Drosophila melanogaster: one gene and its partners. The protein of the gene in region 1 purifies or fractionates together with the protein of each later gene. This does not show direct contact. Each region holds a gene or a part of one and is shown on either strand. Other genes may lie near its edges. The genes, in order: mip130, mip120 and lin-52.

The links.
Region 2: the proteins of mip130 (region 1) and mip120 purify together in Drosophila melanogaster (affinity purification with western blotting; 2 studies listed by BioGRID). This does not show direct contact.
Region 3: the proteins of mip130 (region 1) and lin-52 purify together in Drosophila melanogaster (affinity purification with western blotting; 2 studies listed by BioGRID, with this or other methods). This does not show direct contact.

The regions. Positions count from the first base shown.
Region 1 is NC_004354.4:1,903,125-1,913,193, reverse strand, and holds the start of mip130 (Myb-interacting protein 130), read right to left. Parts: upstream 4,956-10,069; 5' UTR 4,842-4,955; coding exon 4,839-4,841; exon of another isoform or gene 4,367-4,838; intron 4,275-4,366; exon of another isoform or gene 3,744-4,274; intron 2,554-3,743; exon of another isoform or gene 2,438-2,553; coding exon of another isoform or gene 1-2,437. Other genes in the region: Rbcn-3B (Rabconnectin-3B), read right to left, coding at 1-2,437; Edem1 (ER degradation enhancer, mannosidase alpha-like 1), read left to right, coding at 5,575-5,699, 5,760-6,888, 6,959-8,649, 8,913-8,982.
Region 2 is NT_033778.4:13,507,731-13,518,828, reverse strand, and holds mip120 (Myb-interacting protein 120), read right to left. Parts: upstream 9,212-11,098; 5' UTR 9,133-9,211; coding exon 9,102-9,132; intron 9,041-9,101; coding exon 7,593-9,040; intron 7,535-7,592; coding exon 6,621-7,534; intron 6,533-6,620; coding exon 6,393-6,532; intron 6,326-6,392; coding exon 6,000-6,325; 3' UTR 5,717-5,999; downstream 1-5,716. Other genes in the region: Vmat (vesicular monoamine transporter), read left to right, coding at 1-471; CG13330 (uncharacterized protein), read right to left, coding at 1,593-3,412, 3,478-3,493; mEFTu1 (mitochondrial translation elongation factor Tu 1), read right to left, coding at 9,616-11,085. UniProt on the Drosophila melanogaster protein: Component of the DREAM complex, a multiprotein complex that can both act as a transcription activator or repressor depending on the context. In follicle cells, the complex plays a central role in the site-specific DNA replication at the chorion loci.
Region 3 is NC_004354.4:5,750,930-5,760,007, forward strand, and holds lin-52 (lin-52), read right to left. Parts: upstream 4,030-9,078; 5' UTR 3,956-4,029; coding exon 3,916-3,955; intron 3,861-3,915; coding exon 3,687-3,860; intron 3,613-3,686; coding exon 3,508-3,612; intron 3,428-3,507; coding exon 3,273-3,427; 3' UTR 2,720-3,272; downstream 1-2,719. Other genes in the region: Rtel1 (regulator of telomere elongation helicase 1), read left to right, coding at 1-49, 135-344, 413-625; CG15772 (uncharacterized protein), read left to right, coding at 1,940-2,719; CG15771 (uncharacterized protein), read left to right, coding at 5,126-5,275, 6,933-7,418, 7,476-7,907.

The DNA of each region.
Region 1 (10,069 bases):
TGCTCTTCAGGTCCTGCTGCTCCTCGTGCGGCTCTACTGCCTTTTGCAGGCTCTCCACCTTGGCCTGTACTTTCTTCTCGACAATCTCAGTTTTCTCCTTGAACTTCTGCACCAGCCCGTGTTTGTCTTTGTCCTTCAGGATCTTCTCCACATCTACGGCCTTGTTCTTCACCTTGTTGAAGAAGTCACCGATCTTCTTGCTAGCATCCAAATGCATCGATTTGCCATCTTTGGGATTCTGCAGGTGGACACCAAGTGATTCCAAGGTAGCTGGTGTCATCTGTGCGTATTCCTCGCTATGCAATTCGAAGATCAGTCCCTCGATGTCAAAGAAAAGTATGTGGCTCTCCGCGTCCTTAGGATTAGTACGAAGACCCTGGATCACTAAAGGATTGCTGCGGTGTTTCATCAGAAAGTCGAAGTTTCCTTGGTTATGACCCTGAAGTTGCTGGAGTTGCGTAATCCCGCGCTGGGTAGCATGACGGATTGCATTCATGTTGCGCGACTTCAGGCCACGGAAGAAGTGCACTGCCGGATTGGCCATACCCATCTCGCTGGCAGATGCACCATTGGAACCACCGCCGCCGCCCGAGCCGCCATCCTCCGCCTGTTCATCGCAAGCGGAAAGGACTTCCTCTGCCAGCATCCCGTGAAGCACTCGATCGAGGTGACCCGTTTCCATTTGCCACACATACACGCTGCCATCGGAACAGCCTACGATTAGAAAGTCGTCCAGGGGACGCCATTTAATGGTAACCACAGGGAATAGATGTCTGCTTGCCAGGGTCACACACTTGCGCTCCTGAAGGGACACTAGCGTAACGGAATGGTCCGAGGCCACCGAACATATGCATTTCAGGATTCTTGGACTACAGCTCTCTGGCGGCACCAGCAGTTGTGTGATCTCACCCGCATGAACGCAAAACCTATGCAGTAAGCTTCCGCTGTACAGATCCCACAGACACACGGCGAAATCGATGCCGCCGGAAAGTAGATGCGACTTCTCATATCTCGAGTGAATCATCGAGGGGCAGAGCAGGCAATTGACCCTTCCACGATGACCGTAGAGGATCTGATGCGAGGGCCAATCGCTGAAGTTTTGCTTGATGCCCACCAGCAGCTGCATCATCACTGTCTGGGTGGCTGGCACTATGACTATGCTGCCATCCTCGCGTCCGATCACCAGGCGACTCTGCTGTGGCAGATAGATGCTCGAGGTGAGCTTCACCGGCGATTCTGTGATGCGGGAGAGCTGATCCAGGATGCCCACTGGTGGTGGATCCATTATGGACCACGCCTCGACCAACGAAGTGCACACGTGCGGCTTGAGGGGTCGCGGCGGCATCTGTTTGGCCTGCAGTATGCTAATATTGTCTAACGGCACCTCCGGCACATTCCAGACAGAGATGTATCCCTCGGAGTCTCCGCGCAGTAGATTGTGCTGGCCACCGGCGCCCTGAAGCAACTTCATGGCTGGGGGGCACGACAGCACCTTATCACCGGCGTGTTGCAACACGTAGTAGAGGTAAGGTGCATCCCTGACCACACTCTTCGAGTGGAACTCCTTGTTGTCGGGAATGCAGTTTGCGGGCAGCTTGTACAAGTAGCCCTTTCCCTCATCTGTCCATAGCATTACCCGGTCGGAGGTGATGAAGTCGCCGCCCTGCCAACGTTCCCTTGCGGGAGCAATTACGGAGCAGAGTACAGTGAAGTCGCCGGCATCGTAGATCTGCCAGTATTTGGTACAAACTAAGAGCACTGTGCGCTGGTTCTGGGCGCAGCAATTCATGGTGATGGCATTCAGGCAGCGGATCTCCTTGGATTCGTTCTCGTAAATGGGCTCCGCGTGTTTGTTCTCGTTACCCGTCAGAGTCCAGACCTTCACGGTTCCGGTGGTGGTGATGGCCAACACTACGTCATCCTTGCGACGCATGGGGCGCAGTACGTGAATAGCGGATATCCAATCCGGTTTGACCTTTGAGCTGAGCACGTAGATCACCTCTAGGCTGAACGGATCCATGACCATGATTTCAGCATAGTAGCCAATGCAAAAGAGGCGCACATCCTCGCTGTTGGCGGTGTGGTAGCTCTGAATTTGGGTGTGCACCTGTGGAAGCTTGACCGCCTCCATGCACTTGCCGTCCGTAAGATCCCAGGTGCACATCTCTCCGTTCTCAGACGAGCTGACCAGGAAGTTGTTCTCCGGCAGAAGCGAGGCACGCACTAAGCACAAAACGGGCGCCGAATGGCCCACCAAGAGGCACCGCGGCGACATCTTCAGGGTGGTGGGCTCCACTTGCCAAAGGCAGATCTGTCCATCGTAGCAGCCGGTGACCAGGGTAAACTGATCGTCCGAGAGGAACACGCTAGAGATGCAGTGCGTGGGCGCGGTGGGACCCCACAGCACCACGGGTACCACCAGATTGGTACTCACCATGGTGGTGCGCTTTACCCAATCTGTGCGGTGGCTCTCCTTCTTCTCCTCCTCCGCCGGCTTCCTTCTGCTCCCTGCTCGTGTCGCTGGTAATCGTTGCTTTGCTGCGACTGCGGGCTCTGCAAGAATAGTTATTGAGTAAACATTTGCTCACTTCCACCTAGTGGATGCGAATTATTTATGGTGGCCCCTGTGTGTGTATGAACTCCAGTTGTGGTCGGCTTTGAGTGCGTGGATGGTGCAGTGAAAGCTGCTAGTCAGTGACTCACCCAAGGTCCTTCGAATTCTGTGATTTCTCATCATCATTTTATTCAACCTGCTTTCCTAGCAGCTAATAGTGCTCTACAACCCACAGCTGTACGATGTAAATTGAAAACTGAATTTATATGGCGTTCTTAATGGAAAAGATGAATGGCAAAAGGGGTAATGTTGCCTAACGTTTTATAAACAAGCTCAGTTTCTCATTTCCTGTTGAATGTTTAAACAGACTTCGGGAATAAGCGAAATCGAACTAAGCAAAGTTTACATTTACAGCTTATGCAATTTGTAAACAATATAAGAACAATTAAAGGAACAAAGTGCAGCCACATTGTCGAGACTTTTCATATGCTTAACTGACGATTTTTGGGCCACTTACAGGAGAAGCATAACAAATTGGGTTGTAAATTCAAAAGTATTTATAGAGATCCATCTTAAATCTTTACCTAGAGTATGTGATAAGATAAGAACTTCCTATTTTTATGGATAGATTATTTGGTATAGCTACAGTCTTGGGTCTTGCGAGCTGGTTCTCTGGTCTGATAGTGATTTCTGTGTGTTATAGTTGTATCAATCAGGAATATGACTTTATCGTGTTAGAGAGTTCTTCACAGGGCTTTCCCCTCCTAGCTTGCAGGTGAATTTGTCAGTCGGAGTGACCTGCAAAGCTCTTCAGATAAGACCGCATTACAGGGGACACTCGTTCCAGCACACGCCACCTTATCGGCACATGTGTCCAACTTGGCCAGCCTCCACTGTACTCCACTCCACCTCGGATTGTCCAAAGATAAACAAGGGTTATACAATACATATGTGCGGCAAAAGCAGAGACTCAATCCGCGGATATATATCGGGTTTCGTGCGGAGCTGGGTATATGGGAGGGCGCCTGATGTCGCCAATTGAAAGATCAATTAATTGGCCGACTATTTGGCATCGCAATTTGAGCGGATTTTGCTTCTGCTATCGCACACAAACACACACACCCTCACACCTGGACACGCACACAGGGACAAGCCATAATAATTGTAGATAACTGGGCATTTATCTAACATTTTTCAGCAGTTTTCCGTATTGGGCTGGCTGCCGCGCGTGATTCCTCCGCTATGGATTCCGATTCCGATGCCAATTCCAATTCCAATTCCGAATCCGAGTTCGATTCCGAGTCAGCCTGCTCTCGATATGGAGAACTTAATGATGGTCCGCTACTGGTGGTGACGCTGCTTATTGATCCTGGTCGACGGACATCGCGGTGGCGGAGCAGCGGACTTCAATGTCGATTTCGATTCGATTTGATTCTAATTTATGGACACGGGACGGGCGAAACGCACACCACCCCCCGAGCACACCAACACACCAACACCTTTCCGCTGTACAGATTGCTTACAACACACACACGTTGCGTTGCTGTTGCTACTTTGTTATTGCTTTTGCTCGCCACTTTTGCGAACTGCTCATATTTGTTGCACACACTTTCCGCTGGAACATGCACTCCACGGGATCAAAACACTGCACTGTACTTTCGATTTACTTAGCTATTTCCTTTTTTTTTACACGAGTGTGAAAAAAAAGCAACGAAAATCGACCGTGGAGTAAAATTTTTCGATAGATTTGCGTGAGCGGATAGGGTTGCAACCGCAGCTCCGGACGCTCTTCTATCGATGCCATGCGAGGGGCGACAGCCCTGACCAAAAAATTTAATATTTTTCTTTAATTGTTTATAAATATGCAAACAACTGGGTGGAAACACGATTTCCAGATCCCAAATGGCACACGCTTATATCTACGGTCAACGGGATGGTTTCAATGTGGTTTCTGGTCAGCCAGAGGCAATCCCGCATGTATAGACCCACAATGTTGTTACTTTTCGCCCAACGGACAATTAAGCATACGCGATTGCATTTAAACGATCGCCTTACGCGGAGTACAAAAGGCACACGGGCCGTGATGCAGTTACTCCGCGAGGTTATAGTCGACCCTCTTTCTGAGTTTTTTTTACGCGGAGAATGATTCAAAACCGAAACACATCGCTGCCCATCGCCAGAACTGCAATTCGCAGTCGGAAGCGTAACAAAGGCTGCGGATTTCTTGGTCAGCTCATCCGGAGGATGTCCGGGTGTGAAACGGGTGCAGAGGGCAGTTACTTACCATAGGGTACAGTTGCTTCTATTGGAGGCGGTCGTTTCGCTGAATATTTTGAATTTAAATCACTTTTTACCCGTACGAACACACACTTTTGAATGGCCACAAAAAAAACTGGTATGTGCTGCCAACTCGACGCGAATAAAAGTATAAAGGAACGTGTGCCGCGCAAAGCAGTGACAAACAATCGGTATATTTGTCATCACAAACTTTTTGAATTCTTAAAGAAATTGCCATTTAATTTTTCCAACCCGACTTTAATATTGCCGCGCTGATTTTACGGCTATTCTGAGCTGTTGTATTCCTTTAACAAGCAATGACCACCATGCAAATTCGATCTGACCACCCTTTCGATAGTTATTCGATCAGCAACAGCTGATTGCACCCTACGGAATGACATATCCTATTGCTAGGGATTTTGTTGGGTAAAATTAACGTACTTCAGAATTGGCGGAGAATACAGTGTTTGCTAGCCTATAGTGTTTGGTTGTTACCTTAAAAAAGCTCTTTGGCTTGTGTTCTTTCCCCCGTTTGCTACTCTAAGCGCTCTATAAAAAAACACTCACCGAACGGAATTAGTAGGGCATTCGGCGGTCGATGCCACCGCCGAATCAGCCCTTGTTGTGATTTTGCGTCAACGTAGCCGCATTTGACTTCCACACATCCCACATCCACGCTGGCTATGGAACACTGACCATGCCCATAATTGAATTAGCGGCCCTGATTGATTGACTGTCCCACGATGCAGCAAAAACCCCGAAACAACGGCTATCCGGGCACCCTCATCTGCGCGGTCCTCCTCGTCCTGCTGTCCACCGGTGTCAGCGGCCAGAAGCAGTATTCCAAGGCAAGAAAGTTGGAACTGAGGTGGGTCATTGCTAGGGCTAAACTCGGACATACTAATCCTAACCGGCAATGAATCTGCAGGGAGGATGTGCGGCGCATGTTCCAGCACGCCTACGATGGTTACCTGCGCCACGCCTCCAACTACGATGAACTGCGTCCGCTGACCTGCGATGGCCACGACACCTGGGGCAGCTACTCCTTGACACTGATCGACGCTCTGGACACGCTGGCCACCATGGGCAACTTCACGGAATTCCGCCGCGCGGCAAGACTGCTCGAGGAGAAGATGGATTTTGACAGGGACATCAACGTGTCCGTGTTCGAGACAAACATCCGCATCGTGGGCGGGCTGCTGTCCGCGCATCTGCTCTCCAAGCGTGCTGGCGTAGAGCTAGAGCCAGGATGGCCCTGCAAGGGACCTCTGCTGCGACTGGCGGAGGATGTGGCCCGACGATTATTGCCAGCCTTCGTCACGAACACGGGTATGCCTTATGGCACGGTGAACCTGCGCTATGGCGTGCCCAAGGGCGAGACCTCTATAACCTGTACGGCGGGCGTGGGGACATTCCTCATCGAATTTGGTACCCTTAGCCGGTTGACCGGGAAAACCATCTACGAGGATGTTGCTATGAAGGCGGTACATGCTCTATGGGCATATCGCTCGCCCATTGGACTTTTTGGCAATCACATCGACGTGCAGAGCGGTCGTTGGACCGCCCTCGACTCTGGTATCGGAGCAGGAGTGGATTCCCTTTTTGAATACCTAGTTAAGGCATCTGTCCTGCTCAATCGCCCAGAACTCTTGGAGTTATTCCATGAGGCTCGCGCGGCCATTGATAAGTACATGCGGAAGGAGGACTGGTACGTGTGGGTAGGCATGAACAAAGGCCGCGTCACCCTTCCCGTCTTTCAGTCCCTGGAGGCGTTTTGGCCCGGCATCCTGAGCATTATTGGCGACACGGAGCCGGCCTTGCGCACCATATCACGGTACATTGGGGTCTGGAAGAAGTACGGCTTTCTGCCAGAGTTTTATAACATTGCTGCTGGAGAGGCATCGCCGAATCGGGAGGTGTACCCCCTGCGACCGGAGCTAATCGAGTCAGCTATGTATCTCTATCGAGCCACAGGAAACGAGTATCTTCTGGAGTTTGGTGAGCACATGCTGGAGACCTTGGAGTTCAGTGCCAAAACCAAATGCGGATATGCAACGGTGAGAAGTTCTGTGAACAAGCTTTTTAAGAACTTAAAATTAATTAATATATACTTGCATTATTTTCCAGATTCGCAATGTTGTCACCCACGAAAAGGAGAATCGCATGGAGTCATTCTTCCTGGCGGAAACAAGCAAGTACCTTTATCTGCTGTTTGACGAGGAAAACTTCCTGCACAACGATGGGTCCGGAGGCGAGCTGCTGTCAACCGAGGATGATGTATGCGTGGTACAGGCCGGTGCGTACATCTTCAACACAGAGGCTCATCCCATGGACATGTCAGCCCTCCACTGTTGCCACGCCCACAACGAGGACATCTACACCTCTCTGGATCTACAGCGGTTTAGTCCACGGGCGATATTAGAGAGGAGCAAAAAGCGGCAGGTAGCTGTTCAGGAACAGTGGGTGCCGCAGTGTCACCCAGAGAACAACGAGTTCTTTAATAAAGAGGATGAGAGTGTGCAGGCGCAGGACTCTGAAAAAGAGCAGGAACGCGAGCAATCCGGCACAAGCACTACCATGGCCGTAGATATTGAGGTGTTCGACGAATTTCAACAGCCCGCCGGCGATCTGTTAGTAAGCAACTTCGAGCAGATACGCGAGGAGCGGGAGCTAAACGAGAGCCTGCACAGAAACGTGGTGGCACGAAACCAGTTGACAGTCAGCGATTTGGATGAATTCTTTGCTCAGCGACGGGAGAGTTTCGCAAGCGCCTCCGAGGCTCTTAACTATGTAAAGACCTTCATGGGCAACTATACCATGGATGTAGCCTTTATACGGGGCTTGCAACTGTACGATACTAATATGAGTAGTGTATTGGGCACAGGCGCCCAGAAAGAGTATGAGTCTCGAATGAGGACCCTTTGGCAGCTGTACGAACTGCAGCAGCAATATGTGGCCAACATCCGAGTGATTCAAGGATTAGGTTTGCTAACCTTTCCGGCGGACGGTGACCGGATACCTAGCCATTTGACAGAGGTGTTGGACAGCCTGGATAAGTCGGCTCACTTGGAGCATATGGATCTACAAGATCTCGAAACAAGAGTGTCCAATACCTCCTCGCCCCAGTTGGCTCATATAAGAGAAGTTATTCTAAAAGCACGTAATGCCTATGCCATAGCCATGGTCAATACTTCGGCCATGCAGGAATTTGCTATCCGAATCTACCTCAGTGGCACTTCGGAGGCCGGTGTTCGCATTCACCCACTTTTGGAAGACGGAGAACTAAGTGAGGAAGCACGTAAAAGGCCATTAAAGTTGGCGGAGGAGCGAGCCCTCTTCAGCTACGCCCGTCGAATAGTGGACTTTCGGAAACGAATGGCGGAGACAGTTGATCGATTGCAGACGCTCATGCAGGACATTCCGCCACCCAAAAGGAAAGAGGCCACTACCGACTCTCAGGCCGCAGATGCGTCCACAGTCTACACTCAAACCAAAGCCCAGATGGCGGCGCCTGCACAGCAGCCGGAGCCGAGCCAGGAAGAGAAGCAGTCGACACAAATTCAAAAAGGAAAGCTTGCCGAAAACGGCTCCGGATTGGGTGAAGAGGAGTCCGGCTGCGTGTGGTCGCAGTTGGTGCAGACCATCCTTCGGAAGACCACGGTGCAGCGGGTCAAATTTGACGAGGCCGTGCTCCAGGAAAATACGCGCAAGGCACTGGAGAAGTACGCCCGCAAGGAGTTACCCCACCATCTGTTCGCCTGCCACCGGCCGGAGTACATTGAGGGATTCGCCTATCGGGACTTTTATCCGGAAGCGCTGTAAGCTCGCAATCACCTCACCGACCAACACGACTGATCTGTAGATAGATATGTATGTATTTAGTTACTTAGGGGTATTCGCTCTGGTGACTGGGCAACCACATAGATAAGTCTCACGCAGATTTTATTCCCAACTGCTCTATTTCCGATGGCGATTGAAAAGTGGGCTGTTGGGCCCTTTTATTAACTTATTTTTGCAAAATTAAAAGACGTTTTTTCTGGTAACGATTTCGAACGATCATGGTATATTTTTTTTTTTTTAGCAAAGTTCGGCGTCGATGCGCGCATGACAATGAGCGACTCAATTGCAGAGCGAAAAGGACAGAGCGCTAAGCCAAAGCGGCAAGCGCGAAAGTACAAGATGAAGACAGCGCGAGAGGAGGGGAACTTAGATAACGAAAGAGAACCATCACCTCTAACGGTTTTCTGATATGTTGCCGATCATGATATTTGCAGTGCTGTACTTTGTACTTTTCTATCGTTTAAATTGTAAGCTATGTACATATATGTACGTACATATGTATGCAATTACCAAACCATTTCCAGGAATTTCAACTTCTTGTACAATCATGTTTACCAGCGATTTTTTAAAGCTCAGTTAAGATATGATAATAGAACTTCCAAAAATATGTATAGCTAAAGAACCTTAAGTGGTCCTACTTGTGCCGACAATTAATTTAATTAGCATATGAACCCGCAACTCTTGAGGTTTTCTCAATACCTTACCAAGGCTTAAACAAATTTATATCTGTAATAATAATGGTTCGAGTGCTTGTGTGCGTGTAAACTATTTGCGATGACTGTTGTTGGCTGTATTGTAATTAAATTGATTTATTTCCGTATTTATGTATTCAATTAGATTCGATTAGGCTAAAATTTACGACGAATCGAGAGAGTTGCACAACCCGAAGCAAATGTTGAGAATCGCGGCGGCCAAGTGCCGGATGTGGTGGCCACCTGCTCCTCTGCCTCTAGATAATTTTGTGGCTGCGATTGTTTGGACACGCAAAGGCAATCGCTCGAATGGGTTTATTTTCGGATATTGCTGTTTACTTCAGGGATTTGGGTTTTGGGCTTGTACTAAATTACGCCAACGACATGAATGGAGCCAGCCCTTGGGTGCTGGAAGCAGTGATGCGAAGGTATAGTAAGCTCCTATTGTTTACAATGTAGTAGTTAGCCTTAAAATAGGCGAGATAAGTTCCAGTTCCAACCAATCGATGACTTTCGCCTTCGGTACACTTGGTTATACTTCAACCAATTCCAATCTTGAATATAACCAGTGATCCGTCTCATCACTGGCTGACGTCCTTTTACTTTCTCTTGAGCCAATCGCATACATCGCGGACAGCCCACAGCACCTGCTGGGGAAATTCGCCCGACAGGCGCCTCTGACGTTGGTGAAACTGTGATTGTGGGT
Region 2 (11,098 bases), on another chromosome or scaffold:
CTGATCATCCCGAATGCAGGACTTGGCTTTGCCATTGGAATGGTGGACTCGTCGATGATGCCGGAACTGGGCTATCTGGTGGACATCCGACACTCGGCGGTCTACGGCAGCGTTTACGCCCTGGGTGATGTGGCCTTCTGTGTTGGCTTCGCCGTGGGTCCCGCCTTATCTGGATCGCTGGTGAAGAGCATCGGCTTCGAGTGGATGTTGTTTGGAATTGCCATACTCTGCTTTATGTATGCTCCATTGCTGACGCTGCTCAAGAATCCGCCGACCAGCGACGAGAAGAAGGTACGTATGGCCAGAGAGGCGGCTGAGGCTGCTGCAGCCGCTGCTGCCGCTTCAGGGGAATTCTCTGGAATACCCCAGATGACCGCATCCTGCCCGGCCATCATGCATGGTGCATCTGTTCCCGATTCGGATGCCGAGGCGGGCAGGACGAACGAGGCGTACGAGAGCGAGAGGCTTTGAGTCTCGATACATTGCTTAATTTTAATTTATTATTATTTTTCGTATACTTAGTCATTATCATTGTTTTTAGCCCTAAGTTCAGCTTAATTTGTTTGTAATAAAACTATTAATTTTTATTTAAAGCGCTGCCTGAGTTTCATTTTGCACGATACAAAATCATTCTAGGAAATGCATTAGACTAACCCATACCCTTTTCCATTTCATTTCTGTGATTGCAGTCTTTGATCTATGGACGCGATCGGGCTCAGGTACGTTATGTAACCTATCAAAACTACGAGGAAGACGAATAAGCAAACGATTTAACTACAACGCAATGTTGCCAAAAGTGCAACCAAAAATCAAAAAAAAAAAAAACGGGTAATAAAATCAAGAAAAAAAAGAAAAGATCAGAGAGTAACCGTAACCACAACCAACAATATCAGTAATATCATATGAAAATCCAATCCAAATCGTTATTCTTGTTCAATGTTTTACCCAAGTTGCACTATAGTATTATACCATATCAAGAAGTAACCTCCCCCAAAAACTTTGCACATGTTAAAGTAGAGCACACAAATTTGTGAAGATAAAGAAAGAGAAAGTTGAGTGAAAGCAGGGCTCTGTGATGAGCCAGAAGTTCGATGAGACGGGTAGAAAGAAATAAAAATAAGTAAGGATCCTAAGAACCCTACTACATATTGGAGGCAATTTAGTGGCCAAAAGGTTTGGAAACTATCTCAAAATGTATTTTTTTTTTAAGTACAGATATAGCATGATGTGACTGTACGAAGAGCTTAATGAGCTTGTGAGAGTCCTTCTTTGGAAGACTCTACTCCCAGCAGGGAAGGATTAATTGCCGATCCAACAAGCAGACGCCCGCAATTGCAATGATTTAATGGAGGAATCCCAAGAAGCGAGGAACATATAGAAACTATAGTTTGGAATATAATTTTCGGATTTAGCTTAGTTAAGAACATTTAAAAGTCAAAAAAACAGCAATGATACAACTAATTTTGGCGCTATTCTAATATAGAAAAGTTAGGGGAGTATATGAGCGTCTTCTGGAACAGCTTAGCTCTATATTCTAGAGATGATCTGTTCCAAAAATCACACATATAATCCCCCACTTTTCCCTTATATTATTATAAACGCATCAAACGCAGTTTATCCGCATACACGCTGATGTTAACCTGACAGGAATCTTGGCTTTCCTGACTGCTGCTCCTTTCCGTGGGCGCTGGTGATGATCCCCTCATCCTCACATGGTTCAGACTGAAGGCTAGATCCGTATCCCTGGACCGAGATGTGGTTATCCTAATGGGCATATTATTCAGACAGGCGACGCAGGTTTGGTTTCCATTTAGCTGCTTTTGCTCACTAGCCCGGTCATTGGATGAACGCCTCATGCTGCAGTTGCTCCGTCGCCCGGTGGTGGTCACTGTGACATGGACATTGCCATTCGAAGTTCCCGAACTACTGCGAACTAGATCTCTTGGAATTGTAGGAGGGAATCGTTGGGAATCGGGATTAGGTGTTGAACTGAAGCAGCGGTTTGACCTGCGATTTGGAGATGAGGAACGGGAGGTGGGTGTAGAAGACGGCGCTTCTGAAGAGGGTGATGGGGAGCTGCTATTCCGGGTAAGGATCGGCGGGGGAGTAAGTGAACGGGTAGCGGACGAGACACTTCTAGGATCCTGACATACTCTAGTCTTCCGTCTTTCTTTCGGTCTGGTCGGATTCTCCAATCGACGTGACCTTCGGGACGATAGATCACAAAAGGCCATTCCGGGCAAACGATCATCAGAGGTGGTTGTGTACAAGTGCGAGGTCATTGGAACTGACGGTCGGGGAGGTATGTTCTCTTGGCACAGTAGATCCATTTGCTCCCGACGCGCCTGCTCCTGGAGGGCACACAGCCGCTCGTATTCTCTGTGCCGCTGGTTTTCCCGCTCTAGTTCCCGCAATCGCTGCCTCTCGCGCTCCACTTCCAACTCTAGGAGTCGCTCCTCATCTCGCATGCGCTCCAACTGGCGGAGCTGCTCACGATCTCGCTCCCGCTGGCGGGCACGCTCTCGCTCCTCCTGAAGTTCCCTCTCCTGCTCCAAGCGTCGGTCCTCCAACAACTGTCGATCCCGCTCCCGTTTTTGTTGGCGCTCCGCTTCTCGTGCCTTCTCTCTCTGCCGGAGCTCCCATTCCGGACTCGTCCGAGGTTTCGTCTCGCTCACATTGAACTTGGACAGTCGCTTGTCGATGCCAAAGGTGCCGCTGGATCTGGGCGTACAGCGCACCGGTTTGGACTTGGTCCTCACCTTGTCCGTATTGTTCAGCAGATAGGCATCCGTTGCGATCTGGATGCTCACATTGTTGTCCACCTCAGATTGCGAACCCACACTGCAGATGTCGATGCTGATACCGCAGCCGCTTCTTCTGTTCTGCAGATGGGCGTTGGAGTCCATGGAGAAGGTGGTGGTTGAAGTAGAAGGCACACCGCCGCCAGCTGATCGTATGAGATTCGTGGTACTCTGGCACAAAGTCGTGTTGCTTGGACCCCGTCTCATAGCCTCGTAGCGCACACTTTGACAGCATGTCCTGAGGAGCGGCGAATCCGTGGCTGTGGGAGAACGCTTCGTCTGCGGAGCCACCGGTACACTCTGTCTCTCCGGCGTTGTCACCGTAGATCCCAAGGGCATATCCATAGATTCCAGCAAAAGGCGACGCCTATAGGAGCTAGTTTGTGGACTCTTTTTTGCCGGAATGTACTCGGGATCCTGGCTGAATCTGGGATTGTGGTAGAAGGTCTGGAAGGAGGCCTTCTTCACCAGTGCCGGCGGAGTCGGTGCCGCCGGAGGTCTTTGATAGTTCTGGACCGGATAAAATGGCTTGTCGGCATAGCGAAAGTTGTATGAGTGAATTTTGAAGGGGTCACCAATGAAGACGTCACTCGCCTGGCGACGCGAAGGATCTGGGACAAAAGAAGGCCCTGGGAATTAGTTTTGACAGTGCTTTGAACCTGGAACAGCAACTCACTCGATATACGATTCATTTGGGGCTGATAATTTTGAGTTTTCCAAGGTATGCGAGTTCGAAATTAGCGTGCCAATCATATAAATTGGATTTTATTTTTTAGAATATATTCAAATGAGTCCAAATAAATAAATTTTTTTTTCATAGGTCTAGAACCGAAAACCCAGGTAACTTTGGTTTTCGGTTCTGTCTATATGATTCTCGCTACTGAAATCCATTAAAACTTTTTGGCAATACGGCGTAGAAATTGGACGGAATTAATGGGCACTACTCCACAACGGAAGCCCACCTTCCTTAAGTAAATCAATTTCATATTTCAAGTTGTTAAAGTTAAATAAAGTATATATATATATAATCATTGAATCTTGTAAAATTGTTGCCCACATTAGCACACACACAAGTTATCTGACAAAAAAAGGGAATATTTGATAGGCTTTTGGTGCCAAATGGTACGTGGAATATAAACACCATTCCATAGAATCTAAAAATATATACAGGGTCTATAAGCGTTCACAATTTTGAATAGAAGTCTTAAGTTGTATTTTAGTTTGCAATTATCTAGTGAGGAATAAAGTCGCTAAATTGGGTGTTCTACAAAATTTAGACTAGTACCCACTGATTATAACTTCAATTCTTCCCACCCAAAGTTTCGGATCTTAGCCCATAAATATTACCGACATTATTTCGTCACTTAACCAGATCGTATTGGATCGTAAGGATATTGCCGCAAGGCACTTGAATGGCTGCAAGTGTCCTTAAGCGTTGTGATCACCACGTAAAATCCTCTTTAAAACTAATGCTCCTCTTCATTTGGGCAATGAAAATCATTATTTTGAACGCATATAGTCCCAGCAATTCTAATCGAAAGTAGTGTAAAGTAAACTATAGCTCTGTAATGGTCGAAAAAGTTTAAAGAAAGCCGACAAAATGTAGTTAATCGCAGGTATACAATGAGGTTATATTGACAAACTGTATATACGAATAGCTGAAATACTTGCTGATTATCATCGTTGTTCTATTGTTGTGAAAGATGAATTACTCAACTAATATCCATAAATTCTACGCTGTGTTCGTTATGACTTTTCACGCTTTGAAGAATTGCCGAATTCAATCATGCAACACGCGTTTAACAATTAAGGTACTCTTCAATGATTGCATATACAATATTACGACAACCTAAGAAAAAGACATTGTACAGGGTATGCAAATCCAACGTACATATACGATATTTAGCAAATGGTTTTGTTCGGTTTTCATAAAGTTGTTGTGTAAGTTTATGCTTTAGCTCCCCTTCTGGGGGCCCAGCATTCAATATAAACGTGTGAATTAGACAATATAGCTTCTAACTGAATAGTTCAGCATACTCTCAATACAAATACATATATATTATGCGTAATCAAATCGTTATTGTTGCCTAACTATGTTCAAATGTTGCATAAGTGTTACGTAACTAACAATTCACAAGAAAAAAAAGCTGGTATGGGGTCAAACAAACAAACAATGCTAATGCAACTAACCAAAGCGTTTTGTGCACAGTATTCAAATATTCAAAACTATCCTTAAATCGATATACTCAACGTTTACTGTATGTATTTGCTATTTAAGATAATCGCACACACATACTCTCTCTTCGAAAAAGTTCGTATTCGAATGACCGCAAATAAAACGTATAGTTTAGCGCGAGCATATTAGTCAAAACAGTGTATGAAAAATATGTATAACAGGGCATATATATATATATATATATTAGCATTACTAACCACGTATATGTACTATAGTCCTTAAACGATTATCACATTTTTACTCAAACCTTGAAACTACATACATACACACATATGTACTCATGTCATGCCATGCCATGTTTATAGGGTGAGAACCGGGAGAAACCAGAACACAAACATACTTATATGCTATTTATACATACCAATGGTGACCAAGTAGAATATATAACTATACTTAAACAAAAAAAACTACATATATACAAAACTAAATACCTACTATCAATACAATCAACTAATATATGCATTACCTATACTGTAGTCATTCGACATGTGTTTATTTTATAGAGATATTGCTAACTAAGCTGATACCGATATTGTGAAAAACCAAACTAAATTGCGTTGAGTTTAATATACTCGCCCATCAATAAATTTGAAACAATGCAAATGCAAAATACAAATATGTAACTGAAGTTGTTGGTGAATAAACAAGCTACAAAACAACACAACGTCTCTTTTCATTTGTGTTCAATGGTCATTAAACTTTATTAGGTATCTAAATTATTTACATTCAATCCAAGGGAAAAGTTTACAACACAATTACAATGCTCGGCCAAAAATTAAAATAGCCTTATATCTGAAATTTGCTATGTATGATATATACATTTTGTGTTTAAATTATTTAAATAGGGTAAACACTTTACTTTAAGGTCAACTTTTAGAAAGCCAAAATTAGAATATGATTGAGAAAAGGTCAAGAACTCTTTGAACTTATAAACTAATTAATGTGTGACTATATTTGCATGCCTAAGAAGAAGGCTTGGACTCGTCTATCTGAGAGGTTTCTTGCTTTTCCTTGGCAAAAGCGATGATCTGTGTCAGACTTTCGCCCATTTCCTCCATAACCTCGCGCTCCATGTCCTCCACGGCCACATTCTGTTTCTCGTGCATCACAATCCGCGATATCATGCACATGATGGTCGCCTCAATGACATCGTCCGTAAAATATATATTTGCGCGATTCTCGTTCAATTGCTTGTTTTTAGCTTTGTCCTTTTTCTGACCCTCGACACCCATCAATCCGTCCAGAGAGTCCATGTCCACGTCCGGACGGTCTTCCATGTTTCGACACCCTAAATAATAAGTTGATTGATTCAGTTAGTTTGATCATAGATAAAACAGATTTATCAGTTCACTTACCAACGCATTTACATATGCTGGAGCAGGGAATCTTTGCCTCATAGCACTCACAATAGTTCTTGAGGCAGCCCGATCTTTTGCAGTTGCAACCTTTGTTATGCAGACGCATATCACCTGAATTGGGTGCCGTAATTTTGGGTCTGTTTAAAAAAAAAAAAAGTAGTTGTGATTAGCATCTTTAGAAACATAGGATAGACCTCATAAGCTTTTCCTTTCAAATAAACTTACTTAAAGGCGCTGGGGTTACGATCGAGGCAGCTGCGAATAGCACGCTCCCGCTCCACTTCGTAGTCCAGATTGTTAAAGCAATCCTTGCAGGTGCAGTCCTGACAAAACTCGCCGTTTGCAAAGCAATCGCAGTAAAGCTTTAGACACTGCGACTTGCTGCAGTTGCAGTGCTTTCGCCGCGAAGTCATGCCGCCCAATGGATCGACGGCTCCGGCTGCTGCCGCGGTTGCTGGAGGTTTTAGGACTTCAAAGAGCGGCTTGGCAGGTACATTGGCCTTCACCCCCGGAGGCAGTGTCGGCAACTTTGGCTCGACCTTGATCGGCGTCGATTGTTCGGTAGGCAGTTGCTGCTGTCTAATCCGTTGCTTGGCCTGCGCTTGAAGTTGCTGGTGCTTGGACTGCTGCTGGGGACCCATCTGCTTAAAGCGGTGCTGTTGCGGGGAAATGGGTGGCGGGCGTCGCGTCTTGTTTTCCACATATCCAGTGTATCCCCGTCGCATGGCACTCGTCGATGATTGGGGCACACCCGAGTTACAGATCATGTACTTGGCCCCATTGCTTCCAGTCGGTTGAACATAGTTGTAGATTTTCTTTGTGGAGTTGGAACTGGGACTTGTACTGCTAGACACCACACGCTGTACATTCGCTGTCCGATTAATTAGTTTCTGAACTGGCTGGGAAGCTGCCTTCTGTGATCCTTGCTGCATGGTAATAACGTAACGCGGCTTTTTGGCCTCAGGACCCGCATCGCTGCTGTCGCTAGCTTCACTGCTGACCGAGGCCGATTGCTTTAGCTGCACATTGAGATCAGTAAGACGGTGTTTGCGTGGCAACTCCTGGCTGGCACTCGGCGTGGCGCTGCTGCTCGCCGCACTGGCTGGTTTTGAAGCGTTGGAGATGGCGCCCAGCGCACGCTTTAAAGATGGAAATTGAGTTAGAATGAAATAAATTTGTACCAACACAAGTACCAACCTTTGAGACCAACGTCTGCACGGAAGGCAGCGGCACAATGCTGCCACCCATTGATCGCATTACAATCTTGTTAGTGTTGCCCATGGCAAGGTTTGCCTTCGATGCGGCTGCAGGTGAAGCTGCTGCTGCGGATGTTGTAGTAGATGTGGCAGGAACACCAGTAGCAGCCGGTGGCCGCACCACAGTGATCTTCTGAGTTTGCACTGTTTTCGGGATTGAGGCTGTTGCACTTGTTCCGGCGGCACTCTTATTGTTGTTCAGGACACGTACATATTGTATTCCTCCCTTGCCAGGCAGCTGAATAGCGTGCAATCCGCTCGAGGTGGAAGGTGTCTGTCCGCCCGTCGTGTGGGTTGTCGAACTGGTGGCACTCGCATTCGGCGACAGCTTAATGATGTTCTTGTTGGATACAAGAATCTGTTTGCCGCCACTTTGAACCAACATCTTGCCCGGTGTTGCGGATGCACTGGCAACGGAGCCCGTCGCCGTTTTTACAGGAGTTTCTGTTCTCACCACTACCTGGCCAACGGGCTTGTTGAGCACCACATTTCCCGTGGAGGGAGATAGTTTGACAGAAGTGGCGGCAGAACCTCCTGGTGTGACTGTGGTCCCAGTTCCCTGTTTGGCGTTCACCAGCAGTGAGGGACCAGCCTGATTGATCTTGATAATTTTGCCATCGGCAGTGCGCACCACCTGAATTTTGTTGGGCTGTGCCAAAGATGGGGATGTGGTTGCCGTCGTGCTGGAAGTCGACGCCTTCGCAGTGCCTCCGGCCAGCGGTTGGATGCCCTTTAAGGTTATGGCTGAGCCGGGTACCGAGGTGCTTGCTTTGGCAGGAACAGCCGCCTTGACCAGACCCGTGCTTGCCATGGTCACGCCCTTAGAAAGCACTGCCTTCTGGATACCAGAAGGCGCCACGAGGCGTCTTATTCCACCGCTTGGTGACCCTGTCACCGCAGTGCTGCTTTGTGTTCCAGGAACAGACTTCTGGACAAAGATGACTTGGCCATCTTTCGTCCTAATCTGGGTCAAGTTGCCCAAAGTCTTGGTTATGCTGCCCGGTGTGGATTTGGTCGCTATGGTCGTGCTACCGATCTTTAGCGTACTGCTGGGTATTGGTTTCAATTTGTTTAGTATCTTTACGTCTGTAACTTGCGCCTTGGCCGGAGGAGTACCTCCGGCAGTCACCATCTTAATGGCGTGCGACTTCAAAACGGTTAGTCCGGACGAGTTTAACCTCTTGTCCTCCAGTATGTGGACCACGTTCTTCTTAAACTGCGGCGTGTTCAGGGAATCGTTGGCCGGATCGGCCAGATCTTCACCGCCGATATTGTCTTCCTCTGAGTCCAGAGCTTCGATTTCCATGTGCTGGGAACTCTTCTCCGACGTTGGCTCCAAAAAGTCTTCAAAACTCAGCTCCGGCAATGGTTCCGTGTCGTCTAGGGAATCTGCGGACAAAATAAGTTATTAATTACTTTGCAAACAAACGTTTACGGTGCTTGAATCTACCGGTCAAGTAGTCTACGCGGTAGGTACTCATTTTTGCCAATTTTCAAATCAATTTCAAAATGTTCTTTATCATCAGCTGCGTTCAAGGCGGTTGCAGCAGTGTTGTAAAATGTCGTAGTCAGGTTATTATCGGCCTTGTTTGATTTTATCGGCTCCATTTCGATACCACTCTATTTCGGATGCCGTTAACATAGAGCGATAAGCAATCGATGAGTGGCGCCTAAATTAAATATTGCCCTTTATCAATGATCAATGCTTACTTACATAACTTTATATAACAAATAGTCCTTTGAAATGCCGAAATGTCAGGCAACAACAGTAATACTTAAAAGCCGTACTATTTTAAATCAATTTTAAGATCCCTACTAATATTCCAAGTTTTAAAACTTCGTTGTCCATAGGTGTTTGTTTATATTTTACTCGATTGTGATTGGAGCGCCAACAACTTATACAATATGCATAAAAATCGCTTAAGAATATGATTTTAGTTAATGACTGACGGCGTTCCGGGGATCTACTTCTTAGCCGCCACCTTCTTCTCGCGCGCCTTCTTGCCCTCCGTCAACTCGGATCGCTGCGATTCAGTCAATGGGGGCAGAGTGCTGGTGACGACACCAGTGCCCAGGGTCAGGTTTCCGTCACGCAGCGTGAAGCGTTGTCCCTGCTCCAGGACCATTGGCCGGATGAGGCGCAGAATGAGCTTGGTGTCTTCGCCGGGCATGACCATCTCCTTATCGGGAATCTGCACCTGCACGGCACAGTCCCAGGTGCGGGAGAACATCTGCAGTTGGATGAAGGACATGAAGGGCTTTGTGCGACCGCCTTCATCCTTGGACAGGATGTACACCTGGGCCTCCAGCTGATCGAGTGCCTTCACACTGCCCGGCTTGCACATGACCATGCCGCGCTTGATGTCATCTCGCTTAACGCCGCGCACCAGAGCTCCCAGCTGATCACCGGCTTGCGCCTCCTCCAGAATCTGGTGGAACATCTCCACGCCCGTCACCGTCGACTTCAGCACCTTGTTATAGCCCACGAACTCGCACTCCATGCCCTTCTTGACCACTCCGCGCTCCAGGCGACCAGTGACGACGGTGCCGCGTCCGGGAATCGAATACACATTCTCAACAGGCAGCAGGAAGGGCTTGTCCAGCTCGCGCACAGGCGTGGGGATGAAGCTATCCACCTCCTGGAGCAGTTTCAGGATCGCCTCCTTGCCGATCTCGGGACTCTTGTCCTCGAGGGCGCACAGCGCCGAGCCCTTTACCACAGGGATCTTGTCACCATCATAGCCCATCTCGGTAAGCAGCTCTCGGATCTCCATCTCCACCAGGTCGACCATCTCCTCATCGGCGGCGTCCACCTTGTTGATGAACACCACGATGTGATCAATGCCGATCTGCTTGGCTAGCAGCATATGCTCGCGAGTTTGGGGCATGGCGCCATCGGTGGCGGCCACAACGAGAATGGCGCCATCCATCTGGGCTGTGCCGGTGATCATGTTCTTAATATAATCGGCATGTCCCGGACAATCTGTGTGGCCGTAGTGACGCGTCTCCGTCTGGTACTCCACGTGGGCTACATTGATGGTAATACCACGAGCCTTCTCCTCGGGCGCATTGTCGATTTCATTGTACTTCTTGCTCTCGGCCAGCTGCTTGTCGGCCAGGACCTTGGTAATGGCCGCCGTGAGCGTGGTCTTGCCGTGATCCACATGGCCAATGGTGCCCACATTGCAATGGGGCTTGGTTCGCTCGAACACCTTCTTCTCGTTGGCGTACTCGCGCAGGTACTGCTGCATGTTGCCGGTTCTGGGCGCAGCAAGTAGTCCGTTTCTCTGCCAATCCTTGCAGGCCGTGGAGGTGGCAGTGGCACCCGCCATACGCAGCATTCTGGCAGAGCTCATGGCGCGCCGGCTGCAGCGCAGGGCCAATGACATGGATGCGGTGGACCGGCAGACGGCGGCGGCAAATGCATGTGACATGGTTCTGGGCTTC
Region 3 (9,078 bases), 3.8 Mb from region 1:
GGCGCCGAATGCCATGGACTTTATGAGTCGACTGGACTCAAATGTCTCGGTAAACACGAGATTCCCATGAATCTATTATTACACTGTGTTTATTTAGTTCTTTAGGACTTGTTCTTGTTTTGCCCCTTTCCCAGAGTATCGATTTCAACTGCTGCACAGATAGTAAAAGTGGCTCCTCTGGTCTGGTGAAGATTCACAAGCGGGAGCGAAGCTCACCAACGGCGCCGGAATCCTCCAGCCAGGTGACCAAAAAGCGATACAAGTTGGTGGAGAACATCAAGGTGGAGCCAAGTAGTTCGCAGGCTAAGGAGGCACCCGAGGAAAGGGCCGCGTTTCTCCGGGAGGTGAGATACCTTCGAGACTTCTTCCATACTACTACTACTACTACTAATTAATTTACCTTGAATTGCAGCTACGCAGCCTGGTCACCCAAGATCAATTCCGCCGCTTTGGCAAGGCGCTGCTGGAGTACAAGAATGGCACCTATGAGAGCTTTCAGGCCCTGATGGCCATACTCCTGGATGTCCTGTCCGCACCCAAAGTGCGCTACATGCTCGTCGGGATGCGGAAGTATCTAAAGAACGAGCACAAGGACGAGTTTGATCGTAGGGTGGGCAATCTTTAACAAAGGGTTAGGTGACTATGTAAAAGAGTTTTCAAGTTTAGTCGTCCCAAGGATATGTTATTTTTTTTTTTTCAAATTTATTGACATTGGCTGTAATTTTCTGATTGTATTTAGTGGGGCGCGTCTAATTCTCCTAAGAATATATATTATTAACAATGCTATGCATTGTTGTACATGCATTTTGAATTTCTCTGTACGGATGTTTATTACTATTAAAAATTATACGTTAATCATGATATTGTTTATAGCTTTGTGGGAAAATGTGGGGTCATATTAAATGCAAATGCAGTTACTCAAAACCGTTTGCATTATGTGCATTATGTTTTCCCAATCTGTTTATTTATTTACCGCTCAAGGTTGACTTAAATCAACAGTCTACCTTTATTGGAAATTTAATACCACTTTTATGTGCATCAAACTTCGATTTCGTTTGCTGATAAGCTGATGAGCTTTAATAAGCTTTCAATCAAATCAAAGGCGAATAGAACAGGGTGCTCGAAAACTCTTCAAATCTTACATATCGTATTTAAATATGAACTCAATTTGTATAATAATATATATATATGTACAATATATGTTTATTTTATATATTTTTAAGCATGATAAATAGATAAGATATCATAGGAAATTGACTAATGCTAAGACTTTTAAGTTCTTGTCTTAAAAACATAAAATTACTTTTTTGTAGACTGCTTACATATATGTTTTTCACATTTATTTTTTAATCTACCGCTTGGGGGGCATACATTTTAGAGTTGGCAGCCCGCTTGGTAACAAATCTGCGAACCGCAGCCAGCGCAGAACGCATCCAATAAGTTCATTGCCAAACGGGCCGAGTCCCTATATGCACATCCACACATGCCCATCGGCTGGCGCGACCGAGTCACCGAGAAAACTGAGCCCGAGTGCAACGAGAATGCGGGTCCGAGTGGCTCCGACTTCGGACTTGGGAAGGCACTCGCGTGGCAACAATCGTCCAGGGCGCACGGCAAACACGCAGAGCTGCCGGAGGAGATAGGCCGCTGCTTCTTGGGGGCCACATTCGTACCCCGATCCAAATCCAGACCCGCTGATCCATCCGCCTCATAAATACACACATAATTTCTGCCGCTTTGATTGGGGCACGCAGTAAGTTGATTGCAATTGCAATTGCCATAGCCTTTGACTTGCTGCACGTTCGCTCTTCGCTGCTCGCTATTTGCAACAAGTAATAATGAGGGCGGGCAGGGGGTGGCTGGGTGTTTGGCCAACGCAGCGACCTTGGCCTGGTTTAGGCACTTGCCTTAAATGCATTTTGTCGTCATTGCAGCGCACATGGTGGAGGAGATTGGCTGCCAGAGACAGACGGGCATTGTGGTCGCCATGCCCAGCCAGGTGGCATCCAACACCGGAACTCCAGCCCCATCCGCCGGCGGCATTCACCAGCAGCATCAGCAGCAGCAACACCAGCAGCACCAGCAGCAGCAACACCAGCAGCAGCAGCACCAGCAACACCAGCAGCAACAGCAGCAGCAACACCAACATCAGCAGCAGCAACAGCAACACCTTCAGCAGCAGCAACACCACCAGCTGCAGCAGCAACAGCAGCAGCAGCAGCATCAACAACTCGCCAGCAACATGAGCCTGCTGACCGTCAAAGGCGGCCGTTACCTTTGGACCGACCGGGAGCTGTTGATGCACCTCCAGAACTACACTCCCCTGATCCTTCTCATCGATTTCGTGGAGAAGACCCGAACCAAGCGCTTCTATGAGAGCTCCGAGCGCTATGAGATACTCATGCTGGTCTTCATCATGCGCAAGGGAGCGCCGTTTTGTGAGAACAAGCGCTTTCCAGCGGAGTACTGGGTTAATCTATCGGTGGGACCAATTGCCGAGGCGTTTGACCGTCTGCAGGCGGCCATCGATATACCGGATCCCCAGCTGCCGATCCACATGAGCGTTACAGATTTGACCAGCTGGAAGCAAATGTTCGACCTGGCCATGCTGGATATACGGCGTTTTGCGTACTACACCGATCCCTTGCAGCTGGCCGATGCGGGCGTCTTTAACCGGATCACCTTTGAGCAGCGATTCGGAATGCAGTGGCAGGAGTAATGGGAATTGATGCACGTTACTGGATATATATTCACGGGAAACAGCATGTAAGCACACCATCAGCACCAACACACTTTCCCAAATTGGGATGGATCGTGGGGAAGGCTACTGCATAAATCCGAACGAAAGCATTTAGTTAAGTATTAATAGGACGCACTAGAGCGCAACCGATCCATCCAATCCCACATAGACAGAGTTATTTGTTGCGTTAATGTCCCTGCATAGCGAAATCTACTGTGCCTTCTCCAAAAACTCCAGATCCTTCTGCATTCCTTTCCCTCCAATCCGTCAACTTCATCTCTCCTCCGACTCCTCAAATGTATCTGTAATACAAGCGACGTGTAGGACCCAAAATGCTTTAATGGAAATAAACGTTAGTTACTGTTCAAACGCCTGCCTATTTATCTTTGTAAAATAGCGATAAATCATTCACAACACGCATTACTCACTATAAAAATAGCACTATGTACACTATGAAACTACACCTATGTTCCTAATGCGAATTCAACGAGATCCTCGACAGTCCCATTCTTAGGGATCGGATCATCCAGCCTCATGGCTGCCGCTTAGGAGCGCGATCCCGGTCAAAGATGCCCAGCAGTTTCCCACGAGTCATCTCCATTGCCTCACGCAGTCCCAGCTGGTAAATTTCATCATGCATTGACTTTATTTTATCGATCAGATCCTCGGGAGGGAGCTGGGCTAGTTCTGGAATAGAAAAGTAGGTAATGGATATGCTATTCTTTAATATACTATTCTTAAATCTCATTGACTTTGCAGCTACTTACCATTAATCTTAACCATATCATCATCGGTCAGATTGCTGGTGTAGTTGGTGCTGCGCGTGTACATCGGCGTGTCGCTCATGGAGAGGAACTCGTCCATTCCGGGAACTGGAGCAATCGAAAATAAAGATATGCGTTAAAAATGGCGCCAATTTCTTCGTGCTCACGTTTTCTACACTTACAACGCTCTGGCCATTGGACAGGTGAGGGTCGCAGAGTTTCCATGGAGATGAGCTCGTCTTCCGGCGTTATGGGCCGCTCCTTGACCTCCGGGACATCCTTTTCGGCCAATAACGTACTACTGCTGGACGCTGAAGCCTTCTCCACTTCCTCGTCCGCCGCTTTTAGAATGGTTTCTGCAAGAAAACCTCGTTTTATGGCGCCTTTCATGTGATTTAAATATTTACTCACCTGTAGAAAGCAAATCCGTAGTTGTCTCTGCGTTGCTCATCGCGGATAATGTTGAAAAACTCCAAAAACTATTGAAAATAAACACGGAAAGATGCCAAAAAATCCGTGGGCTAATCACTTGCCACCTCGTTAAACAAAAACTATAGCGTTGCCACTTTCAACAATCACTATCGAATACTATCGATTTACCGCCAAGCCAGTGCTAGAAAGCACCAGGAAGTATAAAACAACTGATATTTTTGGTAAACAAAGAACTGTTGTTATTGCTTTTCCTGGTTTTATTAATAGAAGTTAAAAATAAATGGCACAACAATTAGGAAATGAGCGTGCCTCGACTTATACTAAATTCAGAGTGGAGAGCAGGCGTCGTAGCAGAGAAACGCGAACCTCTCCGCGACCTCTATCGTGCTCTCTTTTCCACTCACGGTCGTTTAACGGCGCATAGAGACAACTCTGCGCTAGGTCGCCTGCTCTCGTTCGCTCTGGCGCGCAAACGGCACTTGGCACACTTCGCACAGTGGCGCCAAAAAATATGTGCCCGTAAAAAGCACATGTGCTGCGCAGTAGTTGTCCAGAACAACACAACACGGATGTCTAACCAGTTATTGAAATAAACTTATTCAAGAACATCTTAATAATAATATAAAATCTTAAGGAATAACAATATCTTATCAAGTTTTTATCAATTGGCGCCGCCGCCTGGTAGCACTGTTCGCATACGCAGACTTTTGGCCACCACTGTTTTCCCATGCGCCCTCGCACTTTCTTTCGGTTTTTCATTCGCTGCTCCGCTCTCACTCAGTCAACAAGCACTCATACACACGCGCTCACCTGTTCCGCCGCCCCGCTACCCCGTCTCTCGACATTACTGCGACCGCTCCCGTTCCGTTTCATTATTTTTTTTGTCGCTGTCATTCAGTTGCCGTTTTAACTTCGCCGCGCGAGAAGCGGAAACTTTTGCCAGTCCGCTCGAGGAAAATAGAAAAATACTGCAGTGCTGCTGCAGTCGTGCAGCTCGTACATTTCGTTTCGTTTCGTTTGGCGCCAATTTCAAAGCGCAAATCCGCTGGCGGATTGAATTGCACCAAAGTTGTTCTTGGATCTCTACGTTTGCATCCATCCATCTAACCAAGCAACCGGCTACCACCCCTCCACTCCTGACAGTGACCCCTCGCTGACCCTCCATCCCCCCCTCCGCTCGACGACTCTCATGGCAGCTAGCAAATTCCATTGCGGCAAGCAATTGACAGCCACACATTCACATTTCGATGCGACATGTGCGAAAATCAGGGCCTTTTACTTTGACCTGGACAACACGTTGATTCCCACCAGAGCCGGCGATTCCAAGGCGATCAGAAAGGTGAGCTTTGTTAACCAAGCCAAGGCAGACAGCCTCACTGCCCCCTCTGCCAATCACCAATCCGTTGGCGTTTCTTCCGTTTCTTTTCCATGTAGTGTTTGTGGGGGGGCGGGGCGGGGGAGGTGAAAGTGCGCAGCAGGCGGGCGACCCAGCTAGAAAATTTTCCACTGCAGCCCGCCCGTTGTTACGTAGTCGAAAAAACCCGGACGCTCGGCAGATAGCACGCGCCCGAAATTTCGATTGTTTATTTGCGTTCCGATTGATTTCCTTTCCCTTCCCTTCACATCCCCCAGCCACAAAAAAAAAAAAAACAAAAAAGAAAAACTCAGAGTGCACTCGACAAGGTCTTAACTTAAATATAACCACGGGTACATGCACTTTAGAAGGCTAAAACCCACTAAATAATCGGCATTACGTTGGAAATTCGGAATCTTCGGTTTTCGAAATGTTAAAAGGCACTTTACAGGATCTTATCGTGGTGCGCATTATCGATTGCAAACGATTGCAAAAAGGTCGGAAATCGAGGAACTTGCACTTAACAAAAGTTGAACGAAACGTCATACCAACAAACTTTGGAAACCCGCGTCAATGGTTTCTTTTGAAATATAACCTTCTTATAAAGTGAATGGCACACAAAGAAGCTAAAGGTTAATTGATGATAATAGGTAGCACTTCGCAATATGTACTTGTTTGAACGTTCAGAGGCCATTGACTTTATTTATTACAATAAATGAGTCTATTTGCGATCTTAAAAGGTTAAAGTTTTTAGAATTTTCCCTTCAAGAGAGAAAGGTATAAATAGGTATTCTTGAAAATGTGTTCAATGTCACGTACATTTACTCACTCTTGCATTCCAGATTATATCGTTATCTTTTAAGCTGCGCCAATTTAGATAGTTAACTTCATTATCACGTTCATGTTTCAATACGCTCAATGTTTGAAGACCCCAAATAAGACGGTTTCTTTATTCAGTTGCTTTCAATTCTTAGCGAGCGAAGCCACGCCCATTTATATTTCGGAACTCATGACAGTTTTTGTGACTAATCGCAATGATTTCAACTTAAATTCCTAGCATTCAAAATGACTTTTGTGAGCTTAGCTTCCTGATTTGAGTACGATTCAATAGATGCGGATGGTTGGGCCGGAAAATAGATAGCGAGTGGAAATTTCCAAGCTATCATTGCGATCATAAAATATAGTATATTCTCATATATTACTCATGCTGCAAGTGTACCGGCGGCAATTGCAGTTTGATGTTCAATCCCCTGATAGTACGGCGATGCTATAACAATTTTGGAATTAATCAATTGGCTTCGGATTCGATCGAATGATTGGATTGGTCAATCTGACGCTTAATTGAGAACTTTATGGACGTAATAGTTTTGATTTACGTTCTACCGCGTTTCGCAAAAGATTATGCACGTATTGAGGCTTCTAATCGCTTTTATTAATATTAACTCTACTTTCAGGTTGTTCACTTCTTATTGCGTGAAAGTTCTTAACTTATCTCGTCTTTAATTCGTCATAGCGTATTTATAGTTTTATCGCGGTTGAGGTTTTTACGGCACTATCACATCTACGCAATTTTGTATATTTTTGAATTTATGTAACGCAATAATAATGCGAATTGCCAACCCTTTTCCAATTTCGTTCTTAGCTCGCTGATTTTCTGGAGACCCAATACCAGTTCAGCAAAGATGACGCAACACAGGCCACCCAAAACTTTCTAAAGGCCTTCCGCCGCTGTCCCGATAACTCGCAAACATCGCTGGACTCGTGGCGCACTCACCTGTGGCGCGAATCCCTTCCAGCGCGCCACAAGCACCTGGCGGAACAGATCTATCCCAAGTGGCTGAAGTTGCGGTATCGCTACCTAGCCGTTCCGGCGGACTATGTCCAGCTGCTGCTGCGGATGCGCCAGGCAGGCTATGCCCTGGCCCTCATCACCAACGGACCGTCGAACGCTCAGTGGGAGAAGGTGGCTGAGCTGAATGTGCGCGGCTACTTTGACTGCGTGCTGGTCTCATCGGATCTGCCATGGGAGAAACCGCATCCGGAGATCTTCTATGCCGCCTGCAACTTTCTCAATGTCAAGCCGCAGGAGTGCGTCATGATCGGCGACAAACTGGAGACCGACATCAAGGTGAGTTGTGGCTACTCATAAATGTGCTCACTAGCAACTGATCTATTTCGCTTTTAGGGCGGTCACTTGGCCCAGCTGGGTCTCACATTCTGGACGCCACTAAGCAATAGCAGCGCGGCGGCACAATCGCTAGAGGATGTGGAGTACAAGCCGCACGTCAAGCTGGGCAGCCTGCTGGAGATGTACAAGTACTTTCCGCGCCTCAACTCAGTCGCTCTGCCCGAGATGCCGTCGGTTTCCAGAAGACGTGGCAGCCACATGAGTCCCATTAGCCAGGGCTCCGGCAGCGGAAGCAGCTCCAGCGCCATTTGTGTGCCGGGTGCTGGCCATGGATACCATCACCACCACCACCAGCAGCACCAGGAGCAGCAGCAGCAGCATCATCATCATCATCATCAGAGGCAGTGGCTTTATCGACGAGGCGTTTCACTGCCCGCCATGGATTGCTCCAATAGCGAGGCGGAGAACAGCTGCGACAGTTTTCTGTAGGCAGTGCGGAGGATGTGTTGAGTATCGAATGAATCGATACGAATGACGAGAGATTGTTGAAAAATGTACCTTCAGTTTACAAAACTATAGCTAAAGAGGATTGAGGATTGATGATCGTAGAACGGGAGTAATATTCACGGATGGATCACGAAGAAGGACAGCCAGGAGAATTGGAAACGAGTGCAGGAATTTAAAGTTCAACTATTAGCGGGAGGAGCCCGGAAGCACGGTGAATCTCGCTATCTGCCATTAAACTAAAATTAAGGCTAGCAAACAGCATCGGAGCACACAAACTACTACGGCCAACAAGTACATGGAACAAAAGAAAACAAATATGAAATCAGAGGACAGGAAGCAAAGCAAAGCAAAGCAACCAAATGTATTTTTCTAAGCGAATTTTCTGTCACATATTTTGTAAATTGATATAACACGCAACTGAAAGTACGTCAAGGTAAACGTAAAACGCGAACAATAAAACAATGAAAAAAGAAGCCCGTAAAAACGATACAGTAAAGCAGATCGAAACCACAACACGAACCTCTTACAGAACCTCTGATAAAAAAAAAAAAAAACAACACCACACACAAGAAATACAAAAGAAACGACACGAATAACCGAATCACAAGTACAAGTACGTGAATGTTAACTATTGTCTTAGTCGTAGCCTTTAGTCCGGGTATTGTAATCGCGGCCTCTCGCAGCTGTTGGCCCATCACACTGTTGGCAAATTGTTATTTGCAACCTGCACGAAAAACAACCTCCTCCTACCCATTTCCCCACCCGACCCCACGCCACGCCCCATTCCCGCCCACAAGCACCCTATGCGAAAAGCATCGTTGATGATTATTGATGGCTCACATGCCGGAGCACTGTTGTTGATCATGGAAATGGAAAATAAATGACACTACAAAACCGAAATCCAGCTGACTTTTTGTTTCCATACCAGATGGTGGTGGTGGTAGTGGGTCAAGCTCAGAGTTTTTCCAGAAGATGCAACCACCACTTGTTGTTTTCTCCCTCTAAACCGTGCTTTTATCCCACTTGGCGTTGAAATGAAAGCAATTTTGTTTTATGTTTTAATCATAGTAAAATAAGCTTGATTTGTTTTTATTAATTTGGGGGATGATCTTGTTGTTTATGGACTACAAATATGCTATACGGTAAAATGGTA